Mus musculus: one gene and its partners. The protein of the gene in region 1 purifies or fractionates together with the protein of each later gene. This does not show direct contact. Links are inferred from orthologs where the notes say so. Each region holds a gene or a part of one and is shown on either strand. Other genes may lie near its edges.

Region 1 (3,651 bases):
TTTTGGGGTCAGTGACACTACATTAGCCTTGAGGCGTATCAAGAGTTAACTACCCTGAGGCTTTTAACTCTTTGTGTAAAACTCTTGCCTGGCAGAAAGTGCTAATCTCTAATGTAAACATTTATCTGGTCCCTACAAATTCCCTTTGTAGTCACTCCCCTTGCATCTGTGCTAATCTCTAGTGTTATACATTTATCTGGTTCCTTTTGAAGTCACTCCTTTTGCACCTAGAAAAATTCAATGTGCCTTGTTCTGCAATTTATTCTGTATTATAAAAGTCTGATGCTCGACTGGAAAATTACATTCAGATCCAACACCATTCTCGCGTGTTTGGCTGTCTGTCACGCCATCCTAATCTTGCCCATCTACTCTAGAGACTCTTTTCTACTCAGGCATAGGGTCTGCGGCAGGGGACAGGACCTTGTGTAGCCCAGGCTGTCGAGAACCTGATGCGTAGCCAGAGATGACCCTCCTACCTTTACCTCTAAACCTGCATCACAGTGGAGTCTATAATTCTTAAATTTCATTTATACCTAACACATGCTGTTACTCCTAGCACTGAGGAGACAAGAGGATCTCTAATTCCAGGCCAGCCTGGGCTACATCATCAATACTGTCCAAAAACTATATTTAAACTAACTTATCTCAGGGCTGAAGAGATGGCTCAGCCGTTAAGAGCTTTTGCTGTTCTCCACAGGACTTGTTTGATCCCCTGCACCCACATGGCAGCTCACAACCATCTGTAACTCTAGTCCCAGGGGAACCAGTGCACCAGGCATGCAGGTGGTGTACAGACATACATGTAGACAAAACATTGTACACATAACACTTTTTTTTTTTTTTTTTTGTTTTTCGAGACAGGGTTTCTCTGTGCAGCCCTGGCTGTCCTGGAACTCACTTTGTAGACCAGGCTGGCCTCAAACTCAGAAATCTGCCTGCCTCTGCCTTCCAAGTGCTACGATTAAAGGTGTGTGCCACCACGCCCAGTTCACATGACACTTTTAAAACATGAAAATTTATCAGAGCATAATTGTTTCTCAGCCCTACCAAGTACAGAGTGCATAGCTCAGTGATAGGAGTGTTTCCTGTCCTGGGCAAACCAGCACAGATCCTTAGCACTATAAAGTTACGATGCTAAGGTTACTACTAAATACAAAACACTGCCTGTCATTTACATAATTAAATAATTGAGGGTATGGGAAGGGGCTGGGGAAATAGTTCCATTGCTTCAGATATATATTCAAGAATTGAACAATGGCGGCTGAAGCTATGGCTCAGTGGTTAAGAGTGCTTACTGGTCTTACAAAAAGGACCTGTTCCCAGCACCTGAAAACCATCGGTAACTCCAGTTACAGGAGGTCTCTGGCCTCTTCTGCCCTCCGGTGTGTGCACTTACGCTTGTGCACACACGTGCAAAGACTCATTTTATACACACACACATAACACAGTGCAAGGAATGTAGATCAGTGGGTAGAGTGCCTGCCTAACATGTACAGGGTCCTTGGTTCAGTCCTCCATATTAGGAAACAAAGAAAGGCAGACAGATCTCTGAGTTTGAGGTCACCCTGGGCTTCACAGCAAGTTCTAAGCCAGCTGTGGCTGCATAGTGAGGCTCGTCTCAAAATTTTAAATAACGTAAATCTGTAGGGAGATGAGTATGACAGACAGTATGTGTGGTTTTAATGAGACTTTTGTCGTTTCACTCATAGGGTGGAGTACTCTTGCTGGTGCTGGCTTTATGTTGTAAAGTTGGTTTTCATACGGCTTCCAGAAAGCTCTCTATAGATGTTGGTGGAGCTAAGCGCCTTCAGGCCTTATCTCAGCTTGTTTCTGTGTTTCTCCTGTGCCCATGGGTGATTGTTCTTTCTGTGACGACTGAGGTAAGGCTGAGAGTTACTGGTAACAAGTAAAGTGAGTTACTATTGGAAAGAAATTTCAATTCAGACATTTTTTTCAGGCTTTATGGGACAGGTTTTCTCTGTGTGGCCTTGGCTGTCCTGTAATTTGCTCCATAGACCAGGGCGGCCCCAACCTCTGCCTCCCAGGTGCTGGGACTAAAGGCAAGTGCTGCCACCACCACTTGGCTTAGTTCCAAATTTTTTTAATCTAAGACTGACAATGGCTTAAATTATCCTTGCTTTTTCTTTAGTCCCCCCCCCCATTGGAGTTAATTTTAATTGTTTATAAAAGTGTAAGTCAAATACTCTTATATTTGCATATAATTTACATTCTTATGATCCAAAGGCACCTGTGAAGAAAACTCAGTTAATCTTAAACTCAGAGATTTTGGCTACTTATTATTTATAAAATTCAGCAACAGTGGGGGTTTGTTGTTAATACCCTGGAGAACCCTGGGAAAATGTACCACTATTTTGTGACTCTTACATGCTGGCATTTTGTGACTCATACTGAGCCTGAGTATTTCTGTTTGTGTATACGCTGATGAGCTTTGTCTCTGTAGAACACTGACTGTGGGTTGTGGTGTTTGTGTTTTTCTCTTCTAGAGTAAGGTTGAGTCTTGGTTCTCTCTCATCATGCCTTTCACCACAGTCATCTTTTTTGTCATGATCCTGGATTTCTATATGGATTCTGTTTGTTCAGTCAAAATGGACGTGTCCAAATGTGCCCGCTATGGGTCCTTTCCCATTTTTATTAGTGCCCTCCTGTTTGGAAATTTCTGGACACACCCAATAACAGACCAACTCCGGGCTATGAACAGAGCAGCACACCAGGAGAGCACAGAGCACGTCCTGTCTGGAGGAGTGGTAGTGAGCGCTGTGTTCTTCATTTTGTGTAAGCATTTGCCCAAATTTTTATTTTCATTAATCTACTTTTATGGTTTCTGATGTTTAAGCCTTCAGTTTAGAAATTGTTGAGCACTTACAATTTAGTACTCAATTTAGAAAGTGACCGTGTTGGTGGCTTAAACATTCAAAACATGCATACCATTCTCTTTTTTCTCTTTGTAGCGGCCAACATTCTATCATCTCCCTCTAAGAGAGGACAGAAAGGTACCCTTATTGGATATTCTCCTGAAGGAACACCACTCTATCACTTCATGGGGGACGCTTTTCAGCACAGCTCTCAGTCGGTGCCTAGGTTCATTAAGGACTCACTAAAGCAGGTTCTCGAGGAGAGCGACTCTAGGCAGATCTTTTACTTCTTGTGCTTGAATCTGGTAAGATTGTTAAATAGCAGTGCTATATTTTTAAAGCACGGTGTTTTTATTTTGAGAGGATGTGTAATTTTAGTACTTTACAAGTTTCTGCTGAGTTTACATTTTTCTCTAGTTGGTAACAATGATCCTATTCAAACAAGGCAAACAATCTTTGCAGTATTGTAGAAATTCTGTGTTAAATCAGTAGTAGCTTGTAAGAGGCAGAGCTGCCTCGTAATAGGATGTCAGGATATACCACTGATGCTGACATTTTAGAGCCTCTTCTGTTGATTTCGACAGACATACAAATCAAACAACTGCCTTTTAGTTTGTAAAATGCCTAAATCTGGCTAGCTTGCTTACTTATAATCTATATGAAATACAGTTTCCAGCATTAAAGTTTTAAGCACATCTTCAAAGAAGGTTTGGGTAGAGGTTAAATTGTTATGATTAAAATCTAATAATTCTCTGCAGTGATGTGCTCCTCCCATAAT
Region 2 (3,751 bases), on another chromosome or scaffold:
AGAAACTGTTAATGAAATGTCAAGTGTAACGTAGGCACACAGTAGATGTGGGCTTGGACTAACAGTGCCAAAGCTGGAGTCTGGCATCGTGGCTCGCTAAGATTTCAGTGAGGTGCCATTTATATCTACTTTATTAATACATTAGAGAATTTTTGCCTTATCTTGGAAATTTAGCAGTGCTGGGCACTTAACCATTTGCTAAAGGTCCCCATGTTCCAAGTCTCCTAGGAGAGAATTCTCCTGCCTCCCTGCACTCATACTTAGGACTGTGGCTGGTAGACAGCAGGCAGCTAACCCACGTGGACTGTCTTTTGTGATTGTACTAGAGAAGATGGATGTCTGAGGGGACTTCAAGGTGCGTCCTAAAGAAGCAGCTGTCCAAGGGAGACACTTTGTTCCTGACCACAGCTGGCTCTATTGGCTGACAGTTGTTGAGATATCTTCTGCCCAGATGTTCTCCTCTAATGCCACAAGGGAAATCCTGAAAACTTTAACGGTCTGGATCACCTACTTCTAAGATAGGCTTGCTGACTGCATATCCAGTCTCTTTCCAACTTTGCCAGTGTGTGCTTTTCTGAAAAGGCTAGACTTCACACACACACACACACACACACACACACACACACACACACACACGGTACTTTACATGCAGCAAATGGAATTATTTATTTTAAGTAAAAACACGTAAGGACCTCTTCAGTGTTCAGTACCGATCTTCCCTGAGCAGAAGGCATGTTGGCTATCCTCAGCCTCCCCGCTAGTCAGCTCTGCCAGGTTAGCACTTATGTGACGATTAGCCACATGCGTGTCTAGTTAAGTGTCTCTAAGGCATGATGTTCCCAGGCTATTTATCCCACAGGGCTTGAGCACCCATCTCAGTTGTTGTTTGTTTGTTTGTTTTTAGATGAATCAACTGTCATCTGTGGAGCTTTCTGTGCAGGGCACAGGACAGAAGAGGGAGGAATAGGCGTGTCCTAGCTGGAAAGAGAAAGGCCTGGCCCTGGAGGGCGGGACTTGGCAGTGTGGAGGGCGGAGCCCGGCTGCGGTGGGCTGGGTCTGGCCCTGGAGGGCGGAGTCTGGCTGTGGAGGGCGGGGCCTGACCGCGGAGGCGGGCGCGCCACAGCAACCCAGCCTCATTTCCCTCATTTCCTCGCGCGCGCCGGAAGTGGCGGTGCTCCGCGGCGGCGCGCCGGGCCGGCCCCGCGCAGGGCGCTGGCCAGGTGTGCAGGTCCCCAGAGGCGGCGACGCTGAGCGGCGGGCGCGGTGAGTACCGCCGTGTCCTGCCGCGCCTCTGGGCAGCGGCCGGTCCCCTCGGACGAGCCCTCCGGGACGCCGCTGGGCGCGGCGCTTCCTTGACGCGCCCTCCCGAGGCTGGTCCCGTTTTGGAGACCGCTGCTGCCAGGGACCGCTGGTTTGCGTGTCAGGTTTTTTTTTTAACCTCCTCGTCATCATCTCTGCTGAGTGGCTAAACTTTTTACTGTGGGGTTGAACGCGCCCACTGGCAGCAGCCCTCCTGCCTCTGACAAAACGCTCCCCTTTAAAAGATGCTCTTGGAGTAGGAATTGATGATCGCCGGAACCTGGATAAAAACCAAAAACGGAGAACTGTCAGAAGGACCAGATAGTTTAGAAAATTCCTGCATTTCTGAGCAACTGGCTGGGTAATTTGTCAAATACCACAGCGGTACTTGTGTTTGTGATGATGACATTGGCGGCATGACAGTTTGGTTACAAATCTAACGCTTTTCTTCTTAAGTCCTCATTAAATCTGAAGGTGTGCTTTAGCTTGTTTTTGAAATGTACATGCAGTGTCCTGACAGTTCATGCCACTGAAGGCCCCTGGGCCTTTAATACCTTGGGGATTAATGCCATCTCTTAAAGGTGCATTTAAAAAAGCACCTCTGATTTCCGAAGTAATAAAAAGGTGTTTTATGGCATAATATTCGGGAATATTTGCTACTATCTTTTTTAAATTATGTGACTAAAAGAATATAAAAAGGGTGTTGTGTTTTCAGTATATGAGGCTTAGAAGTGTTGATATTAAACAACCAGCTTTAGTTTCAGATAATTAAGAAATTACTGTTTATCCATCTACACTCCTTTTGTAGTGGTATAAAATATAAAAAAACGTCAACAAATGCATGAAAATGAACTGTCTGTGAATCATTACATGCTTCTTACCTTGTCTGCTGCTACACACATCAGATTTTAATTGTACAACATTCCCATAGTGCTCTGCTTCTTCCAAATAGGTTACCCCTGCTTCCCCATTAAGAGTTCTGACTTCTTTCATCAGCCATTAGTTTGGACTATTTTAAGCTTCATGTTAATGGAGTTAATATATAGTATTCTCAGAATATTGCTGTGGAAGTCACTGTTCGTGTTTTTTGATATGATATCATTCATATCATGGTATGGTGTTGATAATTCTTTCTTATAGTGTAATGTGCCATTCTGTGATGTGATTGTTCTTCTGTTCATGAATGTGTGCTTCCAGATTTGTGTATTATTTGTTTTAGGTTTTAGGGGTGTTATAACATTCTTGTGAATGTCTTAGTATGTGAATACATTTCTGTCAGATGTAAAATGGCTGAGACCTACAATAGGAAAAAAATTACATCCTAACTAACGTGGACTCTTTCTTTTTTAAAAGATTATCTTAACTAATACAGAAGTGAAGGTTGGTTTTAAAAATATGAGTTAAGGCATGGTGGTGCACACCTTTCATCCCAGCACGCAGGAGGCAGAGGACAGTGTATCTCTGTGAGTTCCAGGCCAGCCAAGAATATATACCCTGAGACCCTGTCTCAAACACATGTATAGTCATTAAGCTACTATTTGCACTTTGTATTGGCACAAGTGACCATCTTCTCAAAGACTCATTTCATTTAACTGTCTTTTACCCTCAAGTCAGTTAGAGCAGGCCACGATATGACTGTTCAGTTTGATAACAGTTAGGTAACCATGTTGCTCAAGTTAGTGGTTGTTAAGGGGAAGTGTGGTAGCTGGTAGGAGAAATGAAGCACCAAAGGACAGCACTAAAGATGGGTTAGAAAAATCGAGAGCTCAAGACATAGTCACTGTCACTCCACAAGTACTAGCTGTAAGTGTAAAGCTGAATTATAAGGTTAGTTCCAGATGTGGATTTTTTTATATTAGTATTGTTATTTAAATAACAGAACAATAATCACTAAATATCTGTAGGAAGCCAGCATGTCATTTGCACAAATACAAGAAGTTGAGTTTTAAACATTAGTACTCTCAAGTTTGGAAAGGTGCTTTGCCCACTGAACGAACACACACACACACACACACACAAAATCACTTAGTTTTGGAATATTGAAACACAGAACGTAACAAAGAATACCTAAGACACAGGTCTGGAACAGCCAATAAACACATACACACCTACAGAGACAGAGATAGACATCAGGGAACAGGACAGGATACTGGCAAGCATAGGTCAACCTTTCCCTTTCCAATTTCTGGTTTCCTCCTCTGTGGGCAGAGATGATCTGAAAGTATGACCTTTTAGAGAGCATGTGGAAAGGTACCTGTGCTAGCAGCTCCTGGATTCCACTCTCCTAGCAACACACAGAAGATGCCTAATATGTATCAAGGAAATAATATTTCTAAAAGCAGAAGTGTAGAAGTTTATGAGTGAATTGATACACCAAAACTCTTAATATTGTTGAAGATACATCCTTAGATACATCCTAATAAACATTTTACACTATGGAGAAAATTTATAT
Region 3 (3,651 bases), on another chromosome or scaffold:
TGACAGAATCCAGTGAGACATAGTGGTTTGAGTAGTATGCAGATTACCAGGGACAGTGTTCAAGCTCTGCTAGTATAATTTCTTCCTTTGGTAAAACTAACTCCAGTCATAGGTGAATCTGAATGGAAGAGGCTCAGCCTGGCATGTGTTTAAACTTCCTTACCAAGCCATTGAAATGGGAGTGGGGGGGGGCTTGGTAGAGAAATGTCGACATTGCATACTGAGAATAACTTGTTAGTCTCCTGGCCTCATCACCACTAATAGATTTAAGAACTTTAGGGTAGATTAATTATATATTTATAGTAACTGTAAGTAATGCATGTTTATAGTTTTATAACTTATGTAACTAATTTGATGTATTTTTCTTTCTTCTAGTGCAGAACGCTTTTTGGAGCAGCCCGAGATACACACGTAAGATGGGTTATTTATTTATTTCTTGTAGCTCTGGGATCTGTCTAATCTCAGAGCATCATGCATGCTAGGGAAATAGTCTACTGCTGACACTTATCCCCAGCCAAAGATTTTATTGGGGGAGGGGGGAATTCTGTTAATTTTGATTCCAATTTCTAGTTGCTCCATTATTTTTTGTTGTTGTTGTTGTTTTTTTGTTTTTGTTTTTCAAGACAGGGTTTCTCTGTGTAGCCCTGGCTGTCCTGGTACTCACTTTGTAGACCAGGCTGGCCTCGAACTCAGAAATCCACCTGCCTTTGCCTCCCAAGTGCTGGGATTAAAGGCGTGGGCCCCCACGCCCGGCCAGTTGCTCCATTATTACTTTGTTCAGCATCAGAGGTGAGAGTACAGCCCTGTATCTTATCACTGGCCTCTCAGGAAGAGAGCCTCCAAATCCTGGGACTCCCTCTCGTCTTTGACAGTTCCCAGACTCTGGGCTTTGTAGTGGCACAGAAAGGATTTTGTATCTTCAGAGGTCAGCACACTCATCAGCTCCCTCTGGTGTTTGTCACTTCATATTTAACCCCCAAATCTCTGCTTGCTGCCTTTAGAAAAGAATGCACTTAACTCCCACTGCTTAGCAACTCCGCAGGCCTTACCTGTTAATTCAGGCTCATCTGACTTATCCAGGATGTTGGCACAACTTCCATTAACATTTGTATAAACCCACAGCAGTAAAATGATTCATGAGAAAACACTGTTGATGGTAAGAGACCAGTCTAGACCTGTGTAAAATGGAGCGGCAGCATGCAAGACATGAGCTAGGTAACTAGAAAACAAGCTGGACTCTGTTGGGCCGACTTAAAGTGGATCGCTCTTCCCTTCTTTCCCTCATTCTCTCCACATATGAAATTACAGACTGGAATTATCAAGAAAACATTGAAGGGGATGTTTTGCTCTTTCTAGGGGAAGATTGTTAGTTGGTACTTTTGTGGCCCTTTCTTTCAACCTGTTCACGATGCTTTCTATTCGGAATAAGCCTTTTGCTTACGTCTCTGAAGGTATGTTATGTTTTTTTATTTGCTCATTTTAGTTTACAGTTAATTAAAAAACATTTTTATAAAAACTGGTGGTTTCTTTTTTCATAAACTTGTAAATCTGTGAGAAATATGTTTAGCAGAGAAGGAAGAGCTAGCCCAAAGGTTCTCAAGTGTTTGTTTGTTTGTTTGTTTGTTTGTTTTCTGAGACAAGGTTTCTCTTTGTAGCCTTGACTTTCTTTTCTTTTTTCTTTTTTCTTTTTTTTTAATTAATTTATTTATTATATGTAAGTACACTGAAGCTCTCTTCAGACACCCCAGAAAAGAGTCTCAGATCTCATTATGGATGGTTGTGAGCCACCATGTGGTTGTTGGGATTTGAACTCAGGACCTTTGGAAGAGAAGTCAGTGTTCTTATTCACTGAGCCATCTCTCCAGCCCTAGCCTTGACTATCTTGGAACTCACTCTGTAGACCAGGCTGGTTTTGAGCTTAGAGATCACCTGCCTCTGCCTCCTGAGTGCTGGAGTTAAAGATGTGCCTCCCTCCCCACCCTGCAAGCTAGCTACTGAAGTCTATGTGGAAGATTGTACAGATTATCATCTCGGTAGTAAACACTGAAAAGAATATATAAAAGCCAGTGCGCTGGCTTTGAACTAGGTGATATATGAACAACTACAGGTTTATCTAGGCATGGCGGCACATGCCTACAGTCCCAGAACATGAGAAGCTGAGGCAAGAGGATTGTAGTTCCAAGCCACTTTGTGCTACACAGTGGCACAGGCCAGCCACGGCTGCTTACTGAGACCCTGCCTCCAACAAAACAAATGAAAGGCGTCTCTTTTAGGCAGTTTCTCAACTTTGCCCGTATAAACTGCTGATGCTCTTCAGAGCCTTTAATGTTTGCAATCTCATTAACCGGCAAAGGATTTAGCTATTAACTCATGGGGACGTGAGTGGGTACGCAGAGCTGCCTCGACACAGGACACAGATAGATGATGTTCTGTAGGCCTCTGGACTCGAGCAGCACAGCAGACAGTGGAGAGAGCTTTCTGAGGTACTCACTCGTATCCCAGCAGTCCCACAGGTATCAGGAAGACAAAACTCTGCATCAGTCAGAAGTTCAGAGTGACAGGTGTTTACTCATCTCCCCATAGTCGCCGAAGCAAAGACTTTATTATCCTCATTTTACCCCAAGGCGTTCGGAGGTTAAGTCATTTGCCAAAGGCCACTCTCCTGGTCACAGGCTGAGCTGGAACTTGCAGGTAGATATTCTGGTGTCACTGCCTTCTCCTTAGTGCCGTGCCAGTGTTTTATAGAGAGCTTGCCGATCTCATTACAACATGGTCTTGTTATAGAATGAGTGTCAGTGATGGCGCACGCCTTTAATCCCAGCACTTGGGAGGCAGAGGCAGGTGGATTTCTGAGGCCAGCCTGGTCTACAAAGTGAGTTCCAGGACAGCCAGGGCTACACAGAGAAACCCTGCCTCGAAAAAACCAAAACCAAAACAAAAAAGAATATAGATTTGCAAGGAGAGCTGTACTGTGTGGCATAAAGGTCAGAGAACAACCTGAGTCAGTCCTTTTCTTCCACCACTTAGAGGCATCTTGCATCCCTGAAATGTGACATTAAAAGCACCGTAATGTGTAAGGTACTCACTCCTTCCAGTCAGCTATGCATCAAAGGTGAAACTGCTTCAGACTTAGTCCTTGTCATGAAAAAGGTTAAAGCTGGAGATTTGAGGAGAAAGTTTGCCCTTTGCCGTATTACATGGTCACTGCCGAACTTATTTTTAAAATGAAAGAATTTGTGTTTCCAGTGATGGTTTTATTTTTCTATATAGATAATTTAAGTATTTTCTCCTTAAAGCTGCTAGTACGAGCTGGCTTCAGGAGCACGTGGCAGACCTTAGCCGCAGGTAAGATGCGCTGCAGTTTGCTGGCTTGTGTAATTTAACGAGTCTCTCTGAGAAGAGTCTCCACCATGGGGGCTTAGATCTGCAGCTGGAGTCTTTGCACGAGCTGCTCAGGTCAGTTCTCGGTCTCTCTGGGCTTGTTAACTGATGCCAGAGGAATTCTGCACAGTGGCCAAGCTTTGTCCCCGAGTCCTCCTTGCTCTCTGAGGAGTACAGTGCCCCTCACCTGCAGTATGCTTTCACTGATGTCACGGGGATACTAATGAACTCTTTTTGGTCTTCCGCAGCTTGTGTGGCCTTATCCCAGGA

The links.
Region 2: the proteins of Slc30a5 (region 1) and Csgalnact2 purify together in Homo sapiens (co-immunoprecipitation; 3 studies listed by BioGRID and IntAct, counting the BioPlex papers as one, with this or other methods). This does not show direct contact. The link is inferred for Mus musculus from reciprocal best matches to the Homo sapiens genes SLC30A5 and CSGALNACT2.
Region 3: the proteins of Slc30a5 (region 1) and Slc30a6 purify together in Homo sapiens (co-immunoprecipitation; 5 studies listed by BioGRID and IntAct, with this or other methods). This does not show direct contact. The link is inferred for Mus musculus from reciprocal best matches to the Homo sapiens genes SLC30A5 and SLC30A6.

The regions. Positions count from the first base shown.
Region 1 is NC_000079.6:100,812,825-100,816,475, reverse strand, and holds part of Slc30a5 (zinc transporter 5), read left to right. Parts: intron 1-1,709; coding exon 1,710-1,880; intron 1,881-2,504; coding exon 2,505-2,793; intron 2,794-2,969; coding exon 2,970-3,178; intron 3,179-3,651. UniProt on the Homo sapiens protein: Together with SLC30A6 forms a functional proton-coupled zinc ion antiporter mediating zinc entry into the lumen of organelles along the secretory pathway.
Region 2 is NC_000072.6:118,136,535-118,140,285, reverse strand, and holds the start of Csgalnact2 (chondroitin sulfate N-acetylgalactosaminyltransferase 2), read left to right. Parts: upstream 1-1,145; 5' UTR 1,146-1,263; intron 1,264-1,455; exon of another isoform or gene 1,456-1,660; intron 1,661-1,681; exon of another isoform or gene 1,682-1,773; intron 1,774-3,751. UniProt on the Homo sapiens protein: Transfers 1,4-N-acetylgalactosamine (GalNAc) from UDP-GalNAc to the non-reducing end of glucuronic acid (GlcUA). Required for addition of the first GalNAc to the core tetrasaccharide linker and for elongation of chondroitin chains.
Region 3 is NC_000083.6:74,408,978-74,412,628, forward strand, and holds part of Slc30a6 (zinc transporter 6), read left to right. Parts: intron 1-375; coding exon 376-411; intron 412-1,356; coding exon 1,357-1,451; intron 1,452-3,296; coding exon 3,297-3,345; intron 3,346-3,629; coding exon 3,630-3,651. UniProt on the Homo sapiens protein: Has probably no intrinsic transporter activity but together with SLC30A5 forms a functional zinc ion:proton antiporter heterodimer, mediating zinc entry into the lumen of organelles along the secretory pathway.